Ovis aries: one gene and its partner. The protein of the gene in region 2 purifies or fractionates together with the protein of the main gene of each other region. This does not show direct contact. Links are inferred from orthologs where the notes say so. Each region holds a gene or a part of one and is shown on either strand. Other genes may lie near its edges.

Region 1 (9,705 bases), on a different chromosome or scaffold from region 2:
GTGGAGGAGGGCGAACTAGAGGTCGTGCCGGTTCGGCGCTCGCTGAAAGAACTGATCCCGGTACGGGCGGGGGGCGGGGGCGAGGAGGAGGTCGCAGAGCGAGTGTCCCGCGCTCGAGCGAGCCGGAAGGGGAGGCGGCCGGGGCGGAGGGGAAGTCTGGGGAGGGGGGCACCGGGGCGAGCGCCCGGGGGGCGGGGGCGCCAGACTGGAGCAGAGTCGGAGGAGCGAGAGAAAGGACGCCCGGGCGCCCGGAAATGGGTGTTAAGGGGGCTTGAGGAGGAGGGGTCGGAGAAATTGGGGTGGTAGCTGAGGACACCCCTTTCGCTGCCCCTCCGAGCCGCTCTGTGCAAGAGGACAAGTGAGGAGGGTTAGGGCTTGTCGGGGGGGTGCGGTTTGAGATAAAGAGGGAGCCCCCCCCGGGCGGGGACACAACCTGGAGCGGCCCAGAGGAACTGTCGGGGAGCGGGGCGCGGGCATCCTGCTCCGGTTTAGCTGGTGTTTGTTAACCAGAGCACCCGCGGTTTCCCTCGGGAGGGCTGGGCTGGTCAGCTGCAGAAACTCAGTGTTTCTGTTGTGACCTGAGGGTCATCTCGTCCCCGCGCGCCTCCACTGCTACACCGTGCCTCCAGCATCTCACCCTTCGGGGAATCAGAACATCAGCGAGCCAGCAGTGGTCCTTGGTCCCTCTCTTCTGTCACAGTAGGATGAGGAGAGGTGTTTTGCTTGTGGTTTGGTGGCCTGATGTTCGTAGGGCTGGTCTCAGGCCTGCGTGGCTCTTCTTGTGTATTGGTACTTAATTTCTCATCTGACCTGGTCCACTTTTTTGCCACATGTCTGCAAGTGTTGATTTTAAGCTGAAATCATGGAAGAAGGTTTTTAAAAAATGTAGGAGCACTACAGATTGTAAATTATAATGACTCTGTCAACAACAGTTAACATAGTGGTTTACATGTTATCATTTAAATATCAAGGAAGTTGAGAAGTAGATGTTGTCATCCCTTCATTCATTCCGTTGGACGTGAGCTGTTGTATCCCTAACACTTTGTGGCAGGCACAGTCCTAGCCACTTGATCAAGATCAAGGTCAGACTCTGTCCTGGAGTTTATGTTCCAGTTGGGGGCCACAAGTTAACCAATAATTTCCCAAAGTGGTGAATGCTGTGGAGAGAATAAAACACGTTAATGGGGTGGAAGAGTGCAGAGGGAAGCTGTGGAGAGCAGGAAGCAGAATGCCACAGGATCACCAGGAAAGTCCTCTGAGATAGTGACATTTCAGCTGGACCCTAAGTGACAGAAAGGAGCCAGCCATGTGCAGATCTGGAAGAGTTTGTTCCCAGCAGGGGCAACTTAGTAAACCCAGAGGCTCTGAGATGGGAACAAGATTGTTTTATTGGAGGAACAGAAAGTTCAGTAGCACAAGTGGGAGAGCAGTAAAAGAGGTCAGAAAGGTAGGCAGATGCCACAGAAGAAACCTAGGTCCAGAGAAGCCAGGGGGCTTGTACAGTGTCTTGTAACCAGCGAAGCTTAGAGCTGTGATTTGAGTCCCCCGGCTGCCGAGTCTCATCCTGTTTCACTGCACAGTGTAGTGTTTTCCCCAGAAGGTCGAGGTGAGCCTGGACTTTCTGCATTTCAGTGAAGACTTGTGCCCCATCTGGTGGCCTGGCACAATGAATTTGTCTAGTCTGAGCCGGGGAGATGAGTGACTGTACCTCATCGTGGATATTTCTCATGAATGCCTTTGGATTTTCATTTACACGGATACCTTCAGTAGATGGAATTACTTTAGGTTGTGGACAGGCAGGCTCTGATTTAGAAAAAGCTTCTTGGTAGAGTGGTTGATTGCTACCATGGAGTCACTGGGACAGGCTTCCTCATAATAAAGGGTTGTCAGGGTAGGGAACAGATTGCTGAAAAGACTATCCAGAAGGAATGGGTTGTCAGGCTGTTGTTTATCGTGTGCTTGTCCTCAGTTGCCTGTTAGCATTTCTCACCCATCCCCTTGGTGTTAGGACACAAGCAGAAGATATGAAAACAAGGCTGGCAGCTTCATCACTGGAATTGATGTCACCTCCAAGGTAAGATACACCATGATTCATTTATTCATTTTGAGAAGCGGTTGAACTTAATGAGCAAGTCCCTAGGACTTGTAGAACAGCAGTTATTCTTTACCACCTTTTTTTGTTGTTGGATTAAGCCTTTTTAAGTTTATATTTTGTGTTTCACAATGATGCCTGAGAACATTCAGGCAGCATTTGTGTTTTCTTGAATCCATGAGAAGATAAAATCACTAGATGCCTGTGCTTAACCATGTCCAAGAAAAAGTTCTGTGTGTTCCTTTTACATACATGTTTATTTGGCTGTGTCACCTCTTAGTTGTGGCACGTGGGATCTTCTGTTGCCGAGCACAGGCTTAGTTGCCCCGCAGCATGTGGGATCTTAGTTCCCTGGCCAGGAGTAGAACCTGGGTCCCCTGCATTGGCAGGTGGATGTCCCTATCCATTTTTTTAAAAAATGTGTAAACTGTTTCCACTTTAAATGAAGCAAAGCATAAAAGTGTCTGGCACATAGTAGGCCTTTAGTAAATGTCTTTATTCCTCACTGATTGAGGCCTAGAAAAATAGCCTTTCATGACTATGTGGCTAAACTTTGAAGGCCAAGTGGACTGAATTGTTTTCACTGCCTGGGAGTATTGCCTTTTATCTGGTGATAGCTGTTACTAGATTACCAGCTTCATTGCAGCTCTTCACAGAACCAGACATTATTTTCCTTACAATCAGTACTTATTTGTTGCTTTAATTGGTGTTGATATTCAGCTTAAACATTCTTTCTGATTTTAATGTGTGCCATTTAAAGAGTTGAATTAAAACTCTGAATAAATAAAACGGTGTTACTATATTGGATGTATGAAAGCAAAAATAAAAATAAGTATGTCATGCTTATTTTTTTGTGTTTTATCTGGGTCTCAATCTGTCTCAGATTGCTTAAAGGCAAAAAGAAAGAACTGATCATCTTTTTTGACAGGAAAATAGAATGAAGTGAAGGTGTTTTCTTACTGAAACTGAAAAAGCAGTATGCAGTCCTGTTCTTAAGCCTACACAATTTACCATTATTTGAAACAAATATATAGTGGAAAGGGTGGTAGCCAAGAATTGGTACTTTGGTTCTTACCAAAGGAAGGTAAACTAGTTGTTTCCAGTGGGAAGACTTCAGTGGAGAAAATTAACATAACTATTGGGAAATAACAGAAGTGTTGCTGCCTTACCAATCCCCAGAAGCTTTCTATAGTCAGACCTTCAATTAGTGTGGCAAAGTCAATATACAATTAGTGAAGGTTCCAAAGAGCTATCAGAAACCCACAGTTGGACCTGGGTATATTTTAGCTCTTGGGGAAAAAAAAAATTAGGAAGCTGATTATTTGGTTTTTCAGAAAGCATCAGTGCTTCTTTTCACTTCAAGATGAAAACTGGCAATTCTGTGGACACAAGTTTAGAATAGAGGAGAGAGTTTCTTGGCTTCAGTGTTATTTTTAAACACAAAAAAAGCTTTAGGGAGTGGACTGCTCAGGCAGACATAACGTGATAGGTGTGATTACCATGCACACAGACGATGTGAAATGGGGGCGGTGGTGGGGCTTCTAGAAATAGCGCTGAGAAGATCTGCCCCTTACCAGCTGAAGTGCCCCTGGCAAACATTTTAGCTTTTTTGTGCCCCGGTTTCTGCACAGATACATTGATAGGCACTGAGTCGTCCTCGAGATGATGACAGATTGCAGCACTGCTAGCGCCCACTCTGCCAGCCATTGCCAATACCCTGTTCATTGCAACAATGAGGCAAGGCACAGTGTTGTTCATACCTTCTGAGTTGCTTGTCAAGCCAGTGTATCACGTGATGTTTGTGATTTAACTCTCCTCCACATTTCACTTCTTTGGCTTTTTTTCTGCACCTTCTAGGAAGCGATTGAAAAGAAGGAGCAGCGAGCCAAGCGCTTCCATTTTCGATCAGAAGTAAATCTTGCCCAAAGAAATGTAGCCTTGGACCGAGACATGATGAAGAAAGGTACAGGGTGTTTGGGGGGAGTTTTCCGCAGTTTCCTTGCCACGGCCTTGTGCTTCTGGCCTCACCTCACGTGGAACTTGTGAATTCGCCGCTTCTGAGGTGGCCTGTTAGCGATGAGCTGCGTTAGCTGTGTCTCAGTGTTTTGTGTATGTGTGTGTGTGTGTGTATTCATTTGGCTGTGTCAGAACTTCAGGATACTGTCTAAGGAGCCCCAGAGAACCTCATGGAGTTGGTGGCAGATCGGCGATTAGAACTGTGGCTCTGTGGGACTCTTACTCATTTTCTGCTTTATTGTAGAAGTGTTCACTTTTCTTTGCCTTTAAATGTAGCAGGAGTGTATCGCAGTGAGACTCTTTTAGAGGAGTCAGATTGGTGAGGGATACCGTTAATACTTCTGTTGATCCAGGTTTGTGATTTTACTTTATTTTTGTGTTTTATTAAGGTTAAGTATTTTGCTTCCTGAAACTCACCCTGAATTCTTAAATATGATAACCTACCCCAGATTTTGAAGACAGTTTATAAATAGAAGGGAAAATTATTGCTTCCCTTTTCGTGAGTTCACAGCCATGTTTATTATCCCGTAAATGCAAATGATCTGCCTTTGTTGTATTTGCAAATTGGAGACTTGGCGAAGGGCTTTAATAGGCAGCCATCTGAAGGCACGTTAAAGGTCTGTGCTCTGCTGTATGAGTTTCTCTAGGTTTGCCTATTTGATAAAAACATGTTGAATGAATGGAAGAGTAGCTACTATTTGTCGGGAACTTGCTCTCTTATGAGGCGCTGTGTTAGCACATTACATATTTGTTTCGTACTCATTTCTCACAACAACCCCACGAGGAATATATTTTTATCCCTAGTTTACAAAGAAGGAAACAGGCTCAAAGAAATTAAATAAATGCGCAGGTTTACACAACTAGTAAAAGTGGAGTCAGGATTAGAACTCAGATTTATCTGACCCTAAAGCCTTGCTTTTAACTGTTTGCTCTGTTGCCTTACAATGTATGACATGATAGCAGAGACCCAGGCCGCCTCAGTCCTTCCCAGTGGTCAGAGTAGCTCAACTCTGGATGCTACTTCACTGTTTTTATTCTGCATCGTGTTCAATTTGGAAACATGACCTTGCTTGCCTCGCAGGCTAGGTTTCCAGGCATCTGCTCGAGTGGTTGTCTGTTTCAGGAAAAGTCCTGTGAAGGCCAGGGCCAGCTGTGCAGCTGGTCGTTCGTGTGCCCGCACACTGGACCCACACAGACGTCTGAGGCCTCTCCCACAGCCCCACCTTGGACGCACTGTGGTTTCACACCGCGCCTGTTTACTTCTAGTCCTGGGCGCGTTCCATGTGGCATCTTGCCTCTGATCTCGTTCATGCCTGTCACCCTGCTGATTCGTCTTTCCTTGTCCCACACTTTGTCTGGTTCAGATGTCACGCCCTCTGCAGCATCCCTAATTACCCTCGTCAGTCTCTCTTCCCACCTGTGCTGGGGCTCTTCTGAGCCCGGAGCCCTCCTGGGATCCAGTCTCAGTTCCTTAGTGAATGTGGGGGAGTTAGTGAACCTTTTTAGGTTTCATTTTCTTTGTTCATAAAATGGGAATATGATACCCTCCTGAATAGGACCTCTTCTTTTGGGGTTAAATTTTAATTAAAAAAAAAATGCTTTTTGAAAAACAGTCTTGATCTCATGATTCTGAAGATACTCATAAAAGACCGTAGATCTCCCTAAACTATCAGTGGCTCATTACAACCTGTTTTTGGCCCAGAAGGCAGCATGGCTTCAGACTGTGTTCTTGAACTCCAGATAACCCTGCTGCCTTTCACAGATCGATTTAGAGTAGGGGGTAGGTTTGGATAAATCTCAGAGTTACTATTTTTTCATCTCCCCTGGTAATTCTGTTGTACAGTCGGGGTTAACTGTACCCTAAGAGCGTGGATTCTGAAGCCTGACTGTCTATATTCAAATCTTGACTTGTCACCTTCTAACTGTGATCTTAGGCAAGTTATTTAGCCTCTAAGAACCTCAGTATCTTCATCTGGAAAGTCAGGTTAACTTAGTTCTTACAGGGTTGTTGGGAGGTTCTAACAAAATGTTAGGATTCCTAGAGTGGTGCCTGGCACATAGTAAATGTTAGTTATTATTATTATCTGGCATTCTCCATCTTCCAGACAGCCATTTAAGTGGCCCAGCCTCTTGTGAGAATGGGGACATTGGAATAAACATCTCGATTCCTGCAGCCACAGTAAGGTACCGGGTTATTTCTTCTTATTAACATCAACAGTGATGAAATATACCATTCTATAAGTGCTCCCCACGTGGCAGTCACTCTGCTGTGTGCTTAATGTACCCTTTCAGCAACCCCATTGCAGGGAAAGTTTTATCATTTCTGTTTTACTGGTGGGGAAAGGAAGATGCTGAGAAGTTGAGAAACTTGCCCAAAGTCCCACAGGGAGTAAGTAGCAAGGGTGACTTAGAAGGCTGGTCTGACTGAAGCCTGTGTTCCTGACGTCTCTGCTCGTTTCAGGGATGCAGTGTGCTAGACCAGTCTGTATTGAATGACCTGCTACTCTTGAGTGACTGGGTGTTAAGCAGCTTGGATCTTTTTATCTCCAAGGTCAATGCCCTCATGGTTGGAAGGGACCTTAAGAGTCATCTGGGTCCCATTTCTGGCCCTGTGCTGCAGGCCTTTAGGCAAAGTTCCCAACAGTCTGTGGCCTCTGCCTGAACAGTTCTTAGTGGTGGCATGAGAGCTATTTATGAAGCGGTCAGTCTTGTTTTTGGATACATCTTCATGTTGAAAACAAATTGCTTTCTAGTAATTTCTATCTGTTAGTTACTGCATAACTCTTAGAAGAACATTAAGTCATTTCCTCGTTCACACAGTAACTCTGCAGGTGAAGGAATGGACAGCCTGTGCCCTGGACTCTCTCAAGTGACAAGGCTTTGTGGTCTCCCTCCTTTAGAGCCTGCTCAGTTTCTTGCTGTGCTTCACCAGGCGAGGTGCAGATTCCAGATTTGCTTGGATTTGTGGAGTGCTTGGCAGGACTCTGACCACGGTGTCTGTCCTGGCCGCTTCGTAGTAGTCACCTTCTAGCCAACCAGAGCACCAGTTCTTTCCCCCAGGAACTGCACCTGTCGAAAGAGTCTTTCTTATTGTGTCCTTTAAAAACTTGCCTTTTTATTTGTCCTTATTAAGTTCCATCGTGATTTCAAGACTCCGTTTCCACCTGTGGAGTTACGTTCGTTTTAATTCTGCCCTTCAACATTTTAGCTACGCTCCCCCCTTTGGTATGGCTTCTGCATGTTCATCCAGTTGTTGGTAGACGTCTAACAGGATAATCCCATGTCATGCCGTGACACACAGATCCATGAATGTTAGTCTTATTCTGTTCTCTGGCCCGTCTCCTGTTTTATTGTCGTGGGGATCTAGCTTACGTGCCTTAATAAACTTGAGGTAGAATACCATCTGTGGTCTTCTTTGAATTTCTTGGCCTGCTAATCCAGTCAAAAAAGAGAAGAGGTCAGCTGGCTTGCTGCTTGGCCTATCATTTCCTATGGGAAAGACTTGGTTTCTTAAGGGATCAGAGATTCTGTCTAAGCTGTATTTTAAACATTTCTGAGAATGACAGTCTTTTTGATCTGTTTGGGAATTTCTCTTTTCTTCTTTTATGAAAGTCAGTATGGGATCAGTCCTTAAAGTTTAAGGTACCTTGCTCCTTCCCTGCAGTAATCTTAGAGATTATTACCCGATTGTGAAATCACTGCTTCGTGTTTTAGTCAGTATAATAGGGTATAACTCTAAACTAGATGGTTTGAATCTGTTAAAACTATTCCTTGGGGACTTCCCTGTCAGTCCAGCGATTAAGACTGTGTTGCCAGTGCAGGGAGCATGGGTTCGATCCCTCCTCAGGGAACTAAGATCCCATATGCCACAGGACAAGGCCAAAAGATTAAAAAAAAAAAAAAACTATTTCTAAAGCCCTTGTTACCTGTCTTGGGTTTTGGTTCTTACTTAATGATAGGTGCTGCTGTCCGTTAGTACTGTAGCAAAATTGATCAACAGTCCTGCCCTTTTTCCTGCATCATCTTCCCAAAGCAGTGTTGCTCCAAACACTTGTAAATAAAACCAACCATCAGCATTTTTGTTGAGCCTGTTGGCTCTGGACTATAACCTTTTCTTCTTTAGATGTTAAACAGACAGTTCATGTCCACCAAAAAACATTTGGAGAGTGAAGTAAGAAGAAAGGTTGCGCACAGTCCGCCGCCCAAACCCAGTCACTGTCAGCATTTTGCGGGTTTCCTTCTAATCTCTTCTGAGTGTGGACTTTATTTTTGTTTCCCCTTGTAGTCACGCTGCTTTCTTTCTCTTCACGTGACAGTCTGTCATCGGCACTTTGTGTTGCTTCAGAGCCTGACACAGTTTTTCAGATTCTTACATCTATTCTCTTATATTTATTAATTTGCCCTTTATCCATCTCCCATATGTGTTCTTTGGCAAGTCATGCTCAGCTAAGCTTTGCTGCTTTCTCTTTTCTTGGGATCACCTCTCATACTCTGAGTTACTGTATTTAGTGTCTTCCAGGTTTTTTAATCCTTCTGATCTTAGGCTTGGACTGACTACTGCTTCTTTGGATTTTCAGAAATCTGCTTTCCTAAAAACTTGAGTTTTGTGTACTGTGCTTAGTTGCTCAGTCATGTCTGACTCTTTGTGACCCCACGGACTGTAGCCTGCCAGGCTCTTTTGTCCATGGGAATTCCCCAGGCAAGAATACTGGGTGGGTTGCCACATGTCCTCCTCCAAGGGATCTTCCCAACCCAGGGATCGAATTCAGGACTCCCGCACTGCAGGCAGATTCTTGACTGTCTGAGCCACCGTAGAGCCCTTTGTGTACCGCTGCCTGTCAGTAATTGGGATCTTCCCTGTTGGAAGGGAAGATGGTTCCCTTACCCCCTTGCTTGTAGTCAGCACTTGGTAAACACCCAGTTCTCATTCCCCAGTTCATCTGTTTACTGCCACCTCAGCAGTTAGTCCTTGCTCATCAGCTGGGCCTAAATCTAGGTGCTGTCTTTGTTGCTTTGTTTTATTTTAAGCAGTGACATTGTCAGCAAGGTGACGAAGTGTTGACATTCTGCTTTGGCAGGCTTCCATCGTATCTTGAGCTTGTCTCACATATGATTAAATCCTTCTTTGTATCAGCATCTTCAAGATTTTTTTCTCTTGCTCCTTAGTCTGTTTCCTCTTCCTTCACCAGGAGCTCTCCTTCTTGTTTGTTACCTTCTTCAGAACCAGCTCTTTACTTCTCATAGGATTTTTTTCTTCCAAAATCATGGCACTTAGTTTGAAGAACTGAGAAAGTTCCCTGGGCTACCCCTTCAGTTTCCCACCCTGCATGTTAGAGTCACTCTGCGTGGCCAGTGTGGCTTCCATCTCATTTGGGTCTCTGCTTGTGTTTCTTTCTTTTTTTTTTTTTTAATATTTATTTATGTATTTGTTTGACTATTCCAGGTGTTAGTTGCACCATGCAAACTCTTACTGAGGCATGTCGGATCTAATTCCCTGACCAGGGATCAGTCCTTCCCCCCCGCATTGGGAGTGTGGAGTCTTAGCTCCTGGATCACCAGAGAAGCCCTTCTGCTCATTGTTGTACTGCTGGGCACTA
Region 2 (10,458 bases):
TATCGAATTCAGGGCTCCAGGGGGCTAAAGGAGTCTGCGGAAGTAGAAACCAGCACCAGATTCCTAGTCCCTACAAGCCCCTGACAGTTGGACAGGTGACCTCCAGATTACAGACGGAGTCTCCAGAGATAGAGGCTTTAGTGGACGAAATTCGCAAAATAACCATCTCAGATCCTAAGGAGGAAGAAGAAACTGGACGCAGCTCACCTCTTCAGACCCACACTTCATCGCCCCGCCCCTTTTCTTTCCAGGTCACAATGTCTGCAGGCAACGTCACCCCTTGGGGGTCATCAGCGGCGGGGGAGGAGGTCTGGGTAGGATCAGGAGTAGAGGTGGAGGGCGCAGAGCTGCCCACCTTCTCAGTTGCCGCCAAGGTGCGAGTGGGAGTGACTGTCGTGCTGTTTGTTTCTTCGGCTGGAGGGAACCTGGCCGTGGTGTGGTCAGGGACACGGCCGCAACCCAGCCAGCTCCGTCCCTCTCCGGTACGACTGTTCGCCCATTTAGCAGTTGCCGACTTACTGGTCACTTTTGTGGTTATGCCCCAAGTTGCGACCTGGAATATCACTGTTCAATGGCTGGCCGGGGACTTTGCATGTCGTACACTCACGTTCCTGAAACTAGTAGCCATGTAGGCCGCAGCTTTCCTGCCTGTAATTATTGGGCTCGACCACCAAGCAGCCGTACTCCACCCGTTTGGACTGCGCTCAGCTGGTAGGAAACTTCTTGGGGTAGCCTGGGGACTCAGCTTCCTGCTCACCTTGCCCCAGGTGAGTGACTTGGGACTCAGGGTTAGACTGGACAAGAATTTGAGTACATAACATGAGCCTTCGGATTCAAGGGGTGTGCTTGGCCATAGTCAACATTAATCCTCAGGGTGGGAGCCTCTGCTCTTTTGCAAGTTACGATCATTGCATGTTAATTTGTATTTCTATTGAGTCTGTTTTTACTACACTTGGCTTCCACCTCTTTGCATCATCGTAGTCCCAACCTTCTTCAGATTATTGCAGGAAAGCTTCAGAGCATGGAGTTTCCTCCAAGGGAAGACATTAAGAAGACAGTGACAAGAAAACTAAAAAAAAAAAAAAAAAAAGAGTGAAATCCGGGACTTTGGGTAAAACTTTGTGATACCTTCATTCATCAATTAAAAAAAAAATAATGCAGTTCCCCCAAGTGCATTAAATGCTCTATTAAGGATAGAGCAACAAAGTCCTTCAAGAAATTTATAGAGGAGTGCAGAGTCAAATAAGTAGGCAATTACAATATAATGTCCAGTTAAGTGTTATGCTAAAGCTAAGCATAGGAGCTAAGGAACAATGAGGGGTGTCTGACCCACTTTTGGTCATTCAGGGAAAGCTTCCTGACTTCCCAGAGATATCAAAATTTCATTCTTGAAAGATAGGTGTTAGGACAAAGCAGGAGGAATGCTGGAGAAGGTGGAGGGTAGAAAATCTCAAAAGTAATCACAGTTAAAGTTGAGGGCTAGAAAATGGCAAGTAATGAGCCTGGAGGGGAAGGAAGAGCCAACTTCACAAATATTAAGCTTGTACTTTATCCTAAGGGCAGTGGGGAAACACTAAAGTAAAAGGCAGAGGGTAACATAATCAGATTTGTATTTTTTACTCTAGCTTTATTGTGTCAAAACTGAAACAAAAAGGTGCATCTGAACTTGAGTACCAATTAATCAAATCTCAGTATTGAAAACAAACTATAAATCTAGAAGAAGAAAAAAAAAAGCTAAATATGGAGCAATTCCTTCAAAACAAAACCACTAACACCATCTGGGGAAAGGGTGTAAAGCAGCATCTCTGAGCCTATGGTTGGGATTATGTCAGGGAGAGGGGTTAACATTTCAGTCTCTGGAATAATGCATTGTAGTCACATTTAAGATTGGATTCTTAAATCCTCAAATATTAGAAATGTAACTACCAAAATTAGTCTGACTGCAGTTCTAAGACAAACAAAAAATACTGCTTCCAACAGTATGTTGTAAACAGGACCCCTTTGCCTGTTGCCTCAGTGCAAAAGAAATTAATTAGGTTTATATGAAATTAATTTTAGAAGTGGACTGGGAATTAGAATTAGGACTGTTTTTGTTGTTTGTATTAATTTGCTCTGTTTTTTCTGAGTCTAGGCTCTACCACTAACTAACTGGATAACTTTGGCTAAATCACTTGAAATGCACAGACCACAAGATTATGGAATAGATGAATTTCATCCTTCCTTGGAGCCTGACAGTCCAACAATGCAATTTCTATTTGCTTCAATTGCAAACTGATGGTAACATGATTCAGGTGCAAAAGGTGTTATTTTGGGTTCCAAATTATCAACCTCTTTAAAAAAAAATTATCAACCTCTTGTATAAATTCTGCAGTGCCCATATGTTGCATTTAAAATGTCAATTAAAAATTGTTAGCATGGTCAAGGGAATATTGGTGTAGGTAGAAATTATTTTCATAGACTCATTTCCAAGTATCAGAAGTAAAGGTTTCTATAGTAGGTAGTAAAATATGAAATGCATATAAAATAGTCAAGAGGCTGGACTAAAATATAAGTCCCTGAACCTTGCCTGTTTTTAAACCTTCTTCTCACAAGTCAGATGTTTTCTAGGCATAGTGCCAAGCCATGCACACACACCACCCTCACCACACCACTCTCCCTGCCTGCTACGAAGCCCCACCACCAAAAGAAAAAAAAACAAAAACCCATCCAGGAATACATGGACTCAAGATAGGGGTAAAGGAAAGACCACTCCCCAAGTAGAACAGCCTGGTCATAACTCCAAGCAGTTCATAAAATCATGTCTCCGACTAATACTATTCACTTTTCCTAAAAGTCCCTCATGCCAGCTGAAATCCCTTTCTGAAAGGCCTCATATCTAGGAATTTGATACCTACTAAGTTTGCCTTTTATCAAACTAATACTGACTCAATCTACCTTACCTGAACTAAGGTACAAACCCTGAAGCTCTCAATTGAAAAATGCTCTTTACTGATTCAAACCAAAAACTAGTTTACCAAAAAAAGGAGGGGCAGCCAACAGCATTTGGAAAATGTTAAATTTTATTAATGTTATTTTACCATTATAATTATTGTACATAGGACTATAACTAAAGTCACTTTAGAGAGTGACTGCAAAATAGCCTGCAACTCTAGCACCTCCCATTTTATACAAGATTTATTTTTCCCACAGAATTAATCACAGACACATCAGGAAAATAATTTCAGCTAAAAACGGTGAGGGAAAAAAAATGTTGGTGAGGTGGTAGAGATATCCTCTTATAAATGGTAGATAGTACTCAAAAGACAGGATTCTTTTAAGTCCTGGATTTAATAAGCATAGCCTAAGAGGAAAATAGGGATTTTCAAGATACATTTCTAACCTTTTAAATATGACACCACAGATGTACCATTACTCAGCACTGAAGGGAATTAAGAATGGATTGAGATTATACACTGTATTAGCTCCCAAATTTCTTAACAATCACACACACAAAAACGAATGAATGAATCAGGAGGAGATAGTGTTAAATCGGTAGGTAGCTTGGCAGGGGAGAAGGGAGACCAGTTCTAATAGTCCTCGACTCCAATCTAGCTGTTCCTGTTCCACACTGTCCAAGTCTCTATGGCAAGAGATCATCTATAACCTCTTCACCTTCTGCTGCCTCTTTCTGAGGCCACTGACTGCAATGACCATCTGCTATAGCCGCATTGTCTGCAGTGTGTCCACTCCTCAGACAAGGAAGGGGAACCACAGTGAGACTCCAACCCCCAGGCCCTAACCCATACCCTAAAACTATTGTCTAGCCTCATTAATACGATAGCTATCTATCAAACCAAGGAGCTTGCCCAGTGGCTTAGTGGTAAATAATCTGCCTGCACTGCAGAACACTCAAGTTCAATCCCTGGGTTGGGAAGATCGCCTGGAAAAGGAAATGGCAGCCCATTCCAGTATTCTTGACTGGGAAATCCCATGGACAGAGGAGCCTGGTGGGTTTTAGCCTGTGGGGTCACAAAAGAATCCAATGCAACTTAGCGACTAACAACAAACTGTATCTCTAGCAGCTAAAGCCACACTAACTTCATTGAATGCTTTCAATTCTAACCAGCCACTAGCCATCACTCTCTGAAGTTGAGTTAGCTAGGCAAGAATTAAGGAGAAGGGAGATCAGTATTTTCCTTTGCTCTTGGACACCAACACTTCAAACAGACTTTGTAGCTTCATGTACCACAGCACCTCAATTGAAACCTTTTTTCCAGCTTGTCTGTCATAATCTCTGATGGGAAGGGAGCATATAGTCCCAGGCTGGGAAGGGGAGGAGGGCTTGCAGCATTCTCTTATAGAGGGAAGAGCTCTATCTCACAATTTCTGCCTATCAATTTAGAAGCTAAGTGGTTCTGAATTCGAGTGTATTTTCTAAATTCCCAGCCCCTGCAGGTGAATTTGCCGTCTGCCGCTCCTTAGACAATCACTCCCATGTTCGTCATCGGGCCCTACTACTGGCCCTACTTGTCCTGCTGACCTTCATCTTCTGCTGGACACCTTACTACCTTCTGGGTCTTTGGTACTGGTTCTCTCCCACCATGCTAACTGAAGTGCCTCCTAGCTTCAGCCACATCCTTTTCCTCTTTGGCCTCCTCAGTGCTCCTCTGGATCCTCTCTTCTGTGGGGCCTTCACCTTTGGGCGCCAAAGACGGCATCAAGAACATAGTATAGACTCCTCCAGGGAAGGAGGTTCTGGAAGAGTGCCCCAACAGGAGATTCAAGCTCTGAGACAGATGGAAGTACAAACAAATGTAGCAACAAGAAAGGCAGGAGAGAAAAAAGAGACATCTCTATGATACCACTTGCTCAGGACAGCATATATAGGAACAGAATGAATGATTATTCCTTACTGTCATGAGAACATCTTACTTCTACCCTTGCTCTCTTAGCTTCAAAGAAAAAGAAATACTGAGCAGTGTCTCTACTTGACCCTGACACTGGAGACTGTATCTAACGTAGAAACTCACACAGAATTCAGTCCCTGGGAGAAATATCTTCACAGTGACCCATACTGTCTCACTGTAAATAGTACTCCAGAGCTTGCAATATTAGAAAAGGAAAGTAATTAGAAAACAAAAATTGTACATTTATTCATAATTCAAAAGAAACACTAAACAGTGTAACAGATTAAATATAAACACAGTGAGTTCCACCCCAGCTGTATTTCTCCAAGGTTGCATGGTCAAATGGAATCTCTGGAGAGAACACCTGAACAACAGAGGATGGGTCAGCGACGTCTCCGGTCTGGACTCCTGCTGCGTCTCCGACCACCTCTAGAAAGAAGGAAAAGGGGCAGGGTCCATGAGAGGAACATAATACTATGTCCTTATTCTGCTTTGCTCATATTCCTTCCACTAAGATAATGTTTTGCCCTCTGCACTTTACCTCCTCTTGCCCTTGGGTGGACCCCGAACAAAACACCAGTCCACGCTGATTGGCTGTCCCATCAAATCCTGGCCATTGAGTCCCTCCATAGCAGCCTGGGCCTCCTTGTATGTTTCATACTCAACTAGAGTATACCCCTAGAACAGGAAAAAAACAGATCATCAAAACTCCATCAAGCTCTTTTCTACTCAACTAGGAAAATCTATCAACCTTAAACAACAAATGCACGTCACATCCCTATTATACATACAACTTGTCTGTCTGTTTCTGCCTCTTTGCTATGTCTAACAATCAATTCCCAATCTCATTTTATTTCAACTCTTGGCCAACCACAGCCAACGTGGGAGAACTACCAATGCTGTCTAAGGGTTATGGATGAAGAGAAGCAATGGAGTATGGCTCAGGATACCTTTAGATATCCTGTACGTCTGTCCAGATTGAGGTGGATATTTTTTATTTCTCCATACTCTGCAAATTTATCATGGATGTCTTCTTCTGTGGCTTCCTCATGGACTCCAGTGACAAAGAGAATCCAACCTTCAACAGCTGTAGGTAGGGGAACAGAGGAAAGTTGTTTGAGCACAACAAACACTTCAGCGAGATCACATAAGTAGTGTGTGTGCAGGCTCCACAGAGATTGGTTAAGCGACCTCTGACTCCATGCCTACTGGGTTTTACTTCATTGGTCCCTAACTCTGTACAGACAGATCCCTACAGGTTCCATTTACTTACAGCGTTGTGGTCCGGGTTCATCGCCATCCTGCTCCACGCTGTCATAATCCTCACGCATCCGCGCTCGAGAACCCTCTTCTATTAGAAACACACAGCAGATCACCGGAAATCCCCCTTCTCCTACTGTTCACCGTAGGTCTGAATGGGGATTCCAAAACTCGTAGCTCTCTCCATTCGACCCCATTCCACCCACAAACACTCACCGGAGCCAAAGCCACGGCCCTTCCGTTTCTTCGCTTTTTCTTTCAGTTTGTGGATGCTCTCTGGAGCCCCAGAAGAAAAGGAATAAGTGAGAAAGGTAACAGTTGTTTACAATATTCTCTCTGCAAGACATTATCTGAAAGCAAACCCCACCACCTCCAGGCTGTCCCTCCCGGCCCGCCCCTCTTCCTCCCAAAGGGGGCGGAGTCTCCAACCAACAGAACCCGGTTCCCTGGCTCGTCCCTGGCTCGTCTCCTCCCTACTGGGGACAAAGATTATATTTTCCTAAAACGTCCTTCTCTCGCACCTTCCCCGCTTCCCGCAGCCGCCTCCACTGTCCTCACCGTCCCCATCCTCATCCATGGCGAAATCCTCGCCCCCAGCCTCATGAAGATCAAGTACGTCCGCCATCTTTCCTTCCCTCCAACTCTCGTCCGTGCCGCTCAGGCACTTGGCTCCTCGGGAAACTGTCGCGGAAGGAAAAGGTCATCAATCAAGTTGACCAATCAAAAACTAACACTAGGTCCCGCCCTCTGCGCGGTAAAAATACGCAATGGAGGCGGGCCTAGTTAGGGAAGATAACGGAAGTGTTACTGTAGCCATCTTGAGCGGGTCAAGAGCAGACCGCGGCGCCCGTGGGCGGCGAGGTAGGGGGTGGGTGGGGCTAGTGAGTTCCTCTTAACCAGAGCTTCGGACATGACTGAGCGCCTAACACTAAGCATCGAAAAGTAACTACTGACGTGAAAAGTGAAAGTGTTAGTCGCTAAGTCGTGTCACTTCTTTGCGATCCCATGGGCTGTAGCCCGCCAGGCTCCTCTGTCCATGGAGTTCTCCAGGCAAGAATACTGGAAGGGGTTGCCATTTCCTTGTGAAGCCCAGCCAAATTTTTATTAGCGGGTTGCTTTTCGTCTCTTTTCTTTCCATACCAGGAACTGGAAGCTGAAGAAAGTTTTTTCTCTAAAAACTTGCAGGCCTGTACTGTACCGAAGAGCAGCCGGATCTCTGATGGAAGCACTAAAAAAAAAAGTTAAGTCAGCAATGCTACCTCAAAAAGCTGCGTCTGGAACGTACTGTTCAGTTCAGTTCAGTTCAGTCGCTCAGTCGTGTCCGACTCTTTGCGACCCCATGAATCGCAGCACGCCAGGCCTCCGGGTCCATTACCAACTCCCGGAGTTAACTCAGACTCACGTCCATCGAGTCCGTGATGCCATCCAGCCATCTCATCCTCTCTTCCCCTTCTCCTCCTGCCCCCAATCCCTCCCAGCATCGGCTTTCTCTCAAGAAAATCAGCCGACCTGGTTTCCCGTGAAATACTATTGATGAGACACGTATCAACTTTTCTTTTTTTATTTAATAATGTCTCAGGAAATTCCCTGGCGGCTCCGCATTTTTACTTCGGGGGCCCCGTTCAGTTTATGGTGGGGGAACTAAAATCCTGCAAACCCGGGGTCACGCACCCGCCCCCCAAATTAAAAATAGTCTCTTAAATTCTACCCACCGCTTCTGGGAATTAAGAAAAAGTGATTTTAAAGAAAACAGAGGCTTTAGCTTCTTTGAGGATAGTACAGATATTTCACGTTTAAAAACCCAGGAGTTGAGGAAAAAGAATATTGCCCCCACATTCTGGAATCCGACATAGGCCTTAAAAAACAGTAGTGGATAAGTAGTCATTTATTAATTTTAAAATCAGTTGTGAATGCCTATATGTGTGTCTAATAGTAGAGGTGCTAGCAATACAAGGGGAAGTACAGCATCAACAATCACTTTATAATAATATTATGAAAGTGATCATTGCTATTACAAGGTACTACAGCAATACAAGTTTCTAATAGGACTGGAATTAAGGAGAGTGCATTTAAGGGAGGGCTTCCATTTAAACTGTGCTTGTAAGGCTGTTTTGCTTTCCAGGCAAAACAGCTGTATTGAAACTAAGATACATTAATCCATTCTCTACAGTACATAGTATGATCTTTAAAAAAAAAGTCACATCTCTACTGAAATCCCCCTTACTTATTTTTGCACTTAGAATAAAATTCCGACTCACAGCCTGATCTGCCTATGTCTCCAGACTGTTTCACCACCATTCTTCCCTCTCACCTATTACTTTACTATACTTTTCTCAACTATGTTTACTCCCTATACTCAATTGTGTTGTACACTTTCTCATCTCTGGACATTTTGTAACTTTCTGCCCCTGATGAGCTTCCTCCAGCTTTTCACATGGCTGGTTCAACCCCATCCTGTAGGTCTCCCTGAAATCCTGCTGTCACTCAAAGGAGTCTTCTCTATTCTATCCTTCACTCTTATTTCCTTCACAGAACTTAAAATCAAATCTTGAATTACTTTGTTTACTTTCTAGTTTGTTTACTGTCTTTCGCATTGGCAGAGATTCTTATTTACAACTATATCCTCAAAGTTCAGACCAGTGCCTGATCCATAGCAGACAATTGCTAAATACATATCCAATGAATATCAGGAGGGCAAGAAATTTTTTATGCCTGATGCTGTCTAATTAGAAAACAAAGTTGGAAATATAGTTTAGGGTCAAACTGTATGTCATGCTAAAAATTTGGAACTTACCCTATAGGCAAGAAATTTTTTTAATTCAATATTTTAGTATTCATAATTTTTAACATTTGCAAGTAGCCCTCATACTATTTTTGACTTTTTCCTTAAATAGACTGGCATTTTAAATTTATGTGCTCTGCTGTGCTTAGTTGCTCAGCCATGTCCACCTCTTTGCAACCCCATGGACTGTAGCCTGCCAGGCTCCTCTGTCCATGGAATTCTCCAGGCAAGAGTACTGGAGTGGGTTGCCATGCCCTCTTCCAGGGGATCTTCCCAACCCAGGAATTGAACCTGGGTCTTCCACATTGCAGGTAGGATTCTTTACCATTAAGCTATCAGGGAAGCCCCAAACAAATTTATACTGTTTAAATATCACTGCCATCAGTGGAGACCATATTTTTCTATTACAAATTCAGATAAAAGCATAACTAGTAAAAATGAAAAATGTTTGGCCATCTACCACCTAAAATCTTGTCAGATAATGCCAAGGGTTCACATATAAAACTTTGGGAAGTTCTGCTAAAGGTAAAGATAGCTAGATGATAGTTTAAGCAAGGGAGTGGTACAGTGATAAGTATTTTAGAAAGAAATCCGATAGTAATGTAGAGGACATGAAGAATGAAGGTAGAGATAATTGCAGTGGTCCAGCCCTGAGATGCTAAAGGAATGAACCAATTCAGTATATATGGACAAAACAGATTAGAAGTTTATATAGGGGTAAACTCAACAGTAAGTGATTGACTAGATGATGGCAAAGAGGAATTGAAGGATCTCAAGGAGAATTGAAGTTCTAGGTTAGATTCCTAGGCAGTAATTTCAGTAACGTGGGGAGTCAAAGAGGAGCATGTATGGAGAAATGGGTTTTATTTTAGGTAAGTAAGTTCAAAGAGCTTGTGTCATTCAGGTGGTAATGTGCAATGTGTGGAAATACAGATGTAAAAGCTCAAAAGAAGTTGGGGTGGAAGGAACAGGTTTGAGAACTGTGTGTATGATAGAGTTTAAGCCACCACAGTGGGTGTGACTGCTAGTGGAAAAGGGCAGAACTTGAGGAGAAAGGGTCAAGAACCAAATTCAGGCTCCTCAAATTTCTGGAGAAGGGGAGGCAGATGCCTTCTCCCAGCAGTACAATCTTATTTCTTCCACCCTAAAAATACTAAGAAAAGTTCTTTTTTGAACTTTTTTAAAGAGGGTCATTTTAGAACTTCTCTGATACATGGGTCTCAAGAAAGAGTCGATATGGCTCACTAGACAAAAATCTATTTTTAATTATATAAAATTATACATATAAAATACATAGAGAGTACTAAAAAGGTAAGTAAAAATTTAACACCAAAAGTGGACATATCAGGGAAGAATTTTTCTCCAAGTTCTTTGGGACCTTACTGGTTGGTATTTGAGAAAAATAATCAAGGAGATGCAAAGACAAGTTCTTTCCATAATTCACACCCCTTCCCAGAGAAATCAGCAAAGGAGAAATGAGGGTTTGTGATTTCTGGATTATAAACATAAATACAAACTGAATAGACACAC

Evidence for each region.
Region 1: the proteins of RBM8A (region 2) and NCBP3 purify together in Homo sapiens (co-immunoprecipitation; 3 studies listed by BioGRID and IntAct, with this or other methods). This does not show direct contact. The link is inferred for Ovis aries from reciprocal best matches to the Homo sapiens genes RBM8A and NCBP3.

What each region holds. Positions count from the first base shown.
Region 1 is NC_056064.1:24,357,909-24,367,613, reverse strand, and holds part of NCBP3 (nuclear cap-binding protein subunit 3), read left to right. Parts: coding exon 1-60; intron 61-152; exon of another isoform or gene 153-358; intron 359-2,008; coding exon 2,009-2,074; intron 2,075-3,949; coding exon 3,950-4,055; intron 4,056-9,705. UniProt on the Homo sapiens protein: Associates with NCBP1/CBP80 to form an alternative cap-binding complex (CBC) which plays a key role in mRNA export. NCBP3 serves as adapter protein linking the capped RNAs (m7GpppG-capped RNA) to NCBP1/CBP80.
Region 2 is NC_056054.1:99,247,483-99,257,940, forward strand, and holds RBM8A (RNA-binding protein 8A), read right to left. Parts: upstream 6,830-10,458; 5' UTR 6,772-6,829; coding exon of another isoform or gene 6,750-6,771; coding exon 6,668-6,749; intron 6,423-6,667; coding exon 6,363-6,422; intron 6,238-6,362; coding exon 6,160-6,237; intron 5,974-6,159; coding exon 5,837-5,973; intron 5,565-5,836; coding exon 5,428-5,564; intron 5,316-5,427; coding exon 5,270-5,315; 3' UTR 3,042-5,269; downstream 1-3,041.